Caenorhabditis elegans: one gene and its partner. The protein of the gene in region 1 purifies or fractionates together with the protein of each later gene. This does not show direct contact. Each region holds a gene or a part of one and is shown on either strand. Other genes may lie near its edges.

Evidence for each region. Proteins that work in one complex are often made in the same cells at the same time.
Region 2: the proteins of mesp-1 (region 1) and klp-18 purify together in Caenorhabditis elegans (affinity purification with western blotting, with the first as the bait; one study listed by BioGRID). This does not show direct contact.

The regions. Positions count from the first base shown.
Region 1 is NC_003282.8:8,497,654-8,500,615, reverse strand, and holds mesp-1 (MEiotic SPindle), read right to left. Parts: upstream 1,307-2,962; 5' UTR 1,274-1,306; coding exon 776-1,273; intron 729-775; coding exon 645-728; 3' UTR 540-644; downstream 1-539. Other genes in the region: acdh-13 (Acyl-CoA dehydrogenase family member 9, mitochondrial), read left to right, coding at 1,793-1,896, 1,949-2,036, 2,083-2,595, 2,641-2,962.
Region 2 is NC_003282.8:7,038,583-7,042,340, reverse strand, and holds the start of klp-18 (Kinesin motor domain-containing protein), read right to left. Parts: upstream 2,131-3,758; 5' UTR 2,130-2,130; coding exon 1,879-2,129; intron 1,833-1,878; coding exon 743-1,832; intron 696-742; coding exon 331-695; intron 280-330; coding exon 92-279; intron 43-91; coding exon 1-42. Other genes in the region: cogc-2 (Conserved oligomeric Golgi complex subunit 2), read left to right, coding at 2,794-2,933, 2,982-3,147, 3,194-3,387, 3,433-3,758.

The sequences.
Region 1 (2,962 bases):
ACGTGAATAGAAAATCTTTTTTTTTTTCCGGAATCCAAAATCACATTTTCCAAAAATTCACTTTTAAAAATTCCGAGTCTATATAGGAGGCGAAAACCGAGTCTAAATAGAAGCAAAACGCACTTATATTTAGAAAAGAGTAGAACTATTTAGAAGAAGAAAGTATTTCTAATTAGAAGAAGTAGACATATTTAGAAGAAAAATGCGCTTATATTTAGAAAAGAGTAGACCTATTTAGTTAAAAAGCTCTGCTATTTAGATGAAAAAGCATTTCTAATTATGTCGTGTTGGGAGCTAGCGCCATTTCTAAATATATCTGCTTTTTTCTTCTAAATAGAAGCGAAAACGTTTATCTGAGAATGTTTCTGATGACAACAAGAAATGTGTCCACATTGTGCACGAAACAAACAGCGAATCCGGGTTACATGTCAAATTCCTGTTTGCGTATGAACACTGCATTCAAGGTTTTGAACCGAATACGCGATTTAAAATTCTTAAAATGTATCGGTGCCGTCGGTGCCGATGTGAAATCAATTAGCTGAGCAACCGGTTTTATTTACAGAAAAAAATGACCGGGTTAGTAGTTAATATTGAACAAAGAATGAAGAAATAAAATAAATTAACAGGAATCATCGCATTGGCGATCAGTCTTCGCGATTAACGCGGTTCAGCCACGACTTCGTTGGCCTCGCGAAGGATGGTGTCTTCGGCACTGTGCATTTTCGGATCTGAAAACATTTTATTAGAACACATTTATTGTTTCTTAAACACAAACCTTTGCCGAAGGATGCACTCTCCAGTGTACGTCTCTTCTTACAGGCTCCGTTGAAGCTGGGCGAGCTGACAGCGAGACTTGGCTGAGATGGCGGAGAGGCTCAGAAGATGGTCGCGGTGGTGGAGACACTGCAATTGATGATTCAGCGGGAAGAGTGAGCTCTCCATCGGAATCCAGCTGAATGAAGGTTTGCTCAATTGGAGGTGCCACGATCCGAGACAAGTCTTCGAAGCGAAATTCCTGTCGAGGAGCCGTAGGTGCAGGCGTTGAAGTGTAATCCGGCACAAACATTCTTCGGCTCTCCGGAAGGTGCCTGGCCGGTGTCGGTGTCCGTCCCATGAAGATATTTGCGCGAGTTGCCGGACGTGGGGTCTGATCCATGGATAGAATTGACCCAATCCTGTCTCTGAGCGAAGATCCGGCAAACTCGAACCGATTCCTCATCGATGTGTCCACTTCACGTCTGCTGGCGCTTGTATTCCCCTGAGGTGTTTTCATGTTCCTGGTTGGAGTTTTGGGAATCGCAAGCATCTGCAAGAAATATTCGATTTTGATAAATAAAAGATAGAGAGGAAATTAAGAGAGAACGATAAAAATTAAAATAATAAGAAAAAGCTCGTAGATGTGAAAAAATGAAATGAATATGAATTGTCAACAAGGAAAAATCATGTTAAAATAATTGGCGGCGAAATTCAGATCAGTGCGCATTAATATTAGATCAAAATTATAAAAATAAAACCTAGAGCGTCTAGAAATCGTGATACCGTACTCTTCACAAGTGAGAGAACATGTAAAAAGTAGAGACTCAGATGCGCGAGATTAAAGGCACGTTGATTTTTCCGGACGGGTCCACCACGAGACTGGGCGTGATTAAATGATACTTCAAAATTTGAAATTAGCGCGTTAATACTTCGTGGCCGTGGCCGAGAAAACTCGATTTTTACCCTAAACAATTTTCCCGGCCATATTATTTTTGAATTTTTCAGCGCTGTTTCTTTGCTTAAAACTCAAATTAAGATGCATCGGGCGTTGATCCGATTACAAAAACTGCATAAATGCAATGTGAGATGTCTCAGTGATGCAGCAAAATCAAAAGAAGTGGCTGGTATAAGTGAGAAAAGGTATTATTCAGTAATGTTTTTTCAGAAATAATGAAACTATTATTTTTTTCAGTAAATTTGCTATTCGAACTCTCGACAATACTTCGTCTATCGAGAAGAGGAGCTTGTCGAGAGGTTTCGCTATGAATAAGTTTGAAAAGGTTTGAATTTTTGCAAATATAAGTTTATGCGAACATATCATTCCAGGACTTCATGATCTACCCAGAATACACAGATTCAGATGATGTGCGTAATATTGAAGGGTTTGTGGATGTGTTGCGGAAATCACTTGAATTATCAGTTGACTCGAAATTAATAGAAAAAGAAGGGAAACTAGCTTCAGATACAATAGAAGCTCTTCGCTCGAATGCAATCTTTTCCTTGGCTATTGGAAAATATTTCGACGGCATCGGCATGTGTAATAAGGATTTGTCGAAAGTTTTCGAAGAACTCAGTGTAGATTGGAATGTATACACAACTTCACACATTTCTCTTCTTGTCGCAAACATTTTGACAATTTATGGATCTGATGAACAAAAGTCCAAGTATTTAGGAATTCTTGGGTCTGGAAAGCTTCGACCAGCGGTTGCAATTGTAAAAGATACGAATGGAGGAGTCTGTGAACAAACAGCTGGACCTGGTGGAAAATCAATGTTAAATGGTCAGAACATCCGAGTTATGGGTCATCACAATGCCAACTTTTACGTCGTTTTCGGAAATGTTAGTAGGAATTTCTGTTCTCTTTAAATTAACATTTATTTTCAGAACAACGGAGAGAAAACCTGCTTTCTACTCGATGAAGCTGAACTGGGAACCACCGACAAGATTCAATTTACACGTGACGAAACAATCGGACTGAAAGGAATTGACGTTGGGCGCATCGAGCTCACTGCATTGGTAACAGACAAAAATCTACTTGGAACACCCGGACACGGTTCCGAAATTGCATCGGAGCTGGTCGGTAGTGGTAGAATGCCATTCGCAGCCGCCACAATTGGAATGGCTCGAAGAGCACTTAGAGAACTATCGATTTGGTGTAATCGAACTCCGAGTAGGCAGAATGATCGCACAACTTTAGCGGACGATT
Region 2 (3,758 bases), 1.5 Mb from region 1:
TTTCGAGATCTTCAATCATGGAGACGTAATACAAACGTTGTTCTGAAACAAGAACCGTAAAAACTGAGTAATATTAAAAATTAAATGTTACCCTCCAATTCTTCGCTCGATCGATTTTCACTCTCCTTGCTGCTCAACTCGAGTTCAGCAATGCGTTTTCTCGAAGCATCAATATGGAGAAGCAACTTATCGAGTGTTAAGTTGTTTGCTGTCACTTTCTCCTTGTATCCCTCGGCCACTGCTTCGGACTTCCTCAGACTCTCGGATACAATGGAAACTCTGAAAAAGGAAACACTTGATAGTGAGAGAAATATATCAAATAAATCTTACTCTTTTTGCAATGCAACAATTTCTCCCTGAAGCAATCGTTCCGTCTCGATTGACTTTGACGTTGCCTCTTCGTGCTTGTCTTTCAATGAGCTCAGTTCACAACTGAGCTTCTCGTTTTGACATTGTAGGTCGAGCACGGCATCCTCCGAGGTTTCGACTTCAGCGAACAAAGCCATTCGTGCAGGTGAAGGTCTGTATTGGGTCTCCCGGCGTTTGGGTCTCGAACTGCTCCTCCTCTCCTTTGCCGACGGTGTTTGCATCAAGATTGTCGCGTCCAGATTTTCCTGATAGCGATTTCGCAGAGCACTTGTCTCCTTTTGCAGCTCCTGGTATCGCTTCTCGCTGGCTTCGATCTCCAATTGGAGCTGAAAATTCTCATATTTACACAAAATGATGAGAATAATTAACATACCGTTTGATTCTTCAGAGCTATGCATTCGAATGGAGAACTGCTATTTGCGGCACTGAATTCACTGATGATCTTCTTGAACTCGTTAACAATCTGTTCGTTTTCTGATCCGATCGTGTACTTCAGAAGAGCAAAGTCATACTTTGCACGAAGATCGACGTTTTCCAATCTCAAGGAGTTGTTTTCTGTCTTCAGTCGAAGTTGTTCAACTTCGGCTTCGTCCAACTGTGATGCGAATTCCGTCCGAACCTTTTCCCGCGTTTCGTCAACCTCTTGGCGTAGTTCTTGAATGGCTTTTTTGTAGCTGCTCTCCTGGTCGCCGGTCATAACTTCATTTCGAGTGGCAATGTTCATGATCATCGTGCACGACTGAGCGAACATCAAGGTGGAGTTGCTTTCCTGTGCAAAATCACGATCCGGGTGCATATTAACGATAACAGCCGTCTTTGAATTGCCACCAAGCGAGTTCTTCAGAATATGAGTGAGATGAGAATCGCGGTATGGAACGTGTCCTTTAGCTTTCGAAGGATCGGCAAGAAGACGGATGCAACGGCCTAGCACTGTCAGAGATGAGTTGATATTTGTCGCTTCTTTCAGTCGATCTCCGCTTGATTTTGTATGCGTCTGACGCTCCGATCCCGCCAAGTCCACAAGGTTCAGGATAGATGACCTTTCCTTGACTAGCTCTCCTGTTCGCTCCTGCGTTTTGATCCTGATGATGAGCAGCGCGTGTGATCTTGACGATTCGGCATTCATTGCAGTCGAGCCAGTGCTTCTTTCCTGCCAACCTTTTTGGACCAAATGCATCAAGTCGAGCGGGTTATCAACGTTTTTCGACAAGGCTCCAACAAGCTGAATGTCCTTTCCCGAATCTCTGAGTTGGACTTTGTTCTTCGCATTCAAGAGGTCGTAGATGACTTCGTTGTAGAGTTCAACAAACTCAACAGAAACGGAGAACGTCAACTTTTGACACTCTTTAGCCTTCGTGTCCAGATGCTGGAAAACGTGTTCCACTGATCGAGGGATGAGCCCCATAAGTTCTTGGTCAGTCCATGAATCGCAAGGACCAAGCATTGTATGGGTTTTTCCAGAACTGAAAATCGAACTTTCATTTCTCAAACTACATTGGAAGCACTTACCCTGTCTGTCCATAGGCGAACACGGTCCCATTATAGCCTTCCACACAATCCTCGACAATCTTCTTCGCGACTGTTCCAAAGACGTCCTCCTGTGATGAAGAGCTATCAAAGATATGATGGAGCTCATATCTTTTGGATCCATTATCAGTTTCAATCGTCACAACGCGTCCTCCCACAAAGAGAGACTCGGAAGGTGCCCCAAGCCGTGCCGACGGGCGTACCCTGCCGTAGCACTTGATGTACTGCGACATTCTGAAAATGAGAAATTATTTGAAAGCGTAATAGTAAAGCGGTGAATGATTGAAGAAAGGAAAATAAATCATCAATAACACGATGAAGAAAATAGCACTATCGACTAGATTTTATGAATTTAAAGAACTTCGGGCATCGCTAGTTTAAAATTAAAAAAATCTCGAGCTGGAAAATAAAAGGATCACTATAAATTTGAGAAAAATTCAAGAGAAATGAAAAGTTTCATATTTTTAGGACAAAACCTAGAAAAAATCAAAATTTCGCGCCTCCGCGGCGGATTCTGCGCGTTCGCTACGAGACCGAAATACGTTTAGTTATGCTCCTTCAAATGTTACGGTATCAAAAATGTTTTCAGATGTAGTTTCTTTTTGCCCAGAAATTCATGCTTTCTACATTTTAAAAGCTTTAATACTCTCATGTACACTAGATTATAATTTTCAACACTTTCGATAAGGTAAATGCAAAAAATCTTCATTTTATTTGTTTTAATTCTTATTTTTCAAAAATTAAACTAAAGCGCCTTGTGAAAGGGAGCGCACTTACACTCACAAGTCTCGTGCGAGAGAGTTGCGAAATCGCGTGCCAAGCTTGCATTTTGACTCCTCCCACACAGTTCCACGCGAAAACGTTGAAACAATTTTTTTTTTTGAAAATATTTTTAAAATGGGTACACTTCATGGCGAGAAAACTATGTTCGCTTCGCCAAACACCTTCTATATCGATGAATCGAAGTTATGCTTTAATAAGACCCATTTCAATCGAGAAGATTTTAATGTGGAACGATTTATGAACTTGGCAAGGCAGTGAGTTTTTATTTCAAATGAAATGGAGAATTGAAAATTGGTTTTCAGAAAATCTGATCTCAAAACAATTCAGCAGGATCTACGCCTCTACTTGAAAAGTGTTCAAAATTCAATGATCGAGCTTATCAACGATGATTATGCGGATTTTGTCCATTTATCGTCAAACTTGGTCAGCCTCCAAGACTCACTAAATAAAATCGAACAAGATATCAATGTAAATTTAGAATTTATTTTTACAAAACGTCGAATTTAAGTTTTAGAGAATATGGGATGAATTCAAGGAGTCGACAAGAGAATCTGTTGGTATGGCTGAAAGAATCGAGCAAAAATGTGATGAGCTTTGCTCAAATCGAGAAAAACAAATTGAAATTCGGGATCGCATTTATTTTCTAGTTGCCATAGAAAAGCTATCAGAAATGTTATTGCATCCTCCTCGAAAATGCTCTGCTTTGTGGTAATATTTTTCATTTATTAAAAAAAAATATTACAATTTTTGCAGGTTACAAAAGGCAGCGTCCTTCGCATCAGAGCTGAAGGGTTCCACGTTTCCCCATTCGGAAGAGGAAAATGCCGCTGAAAAGATAATTCTATCTCAGCTGGAAGCGGTTCTCTGTGCAGAAGGAGTTCGAAGTGCCGCCGGTGATTGTCAAAATCTTCCTCTCATTTATTCAATTTTATCGTTAACGGAGAGTACGCATTCACTAACTGCCCTCTTGGTTTCTGATCTTTTGTATGCCGAATTTGTAAATGAGAAACACGACGAAAGTAATCAGTTGAAACTCTTGAAACAAGTCTTCGAAAGCGTCAAAAAAATGCGTGAAACTT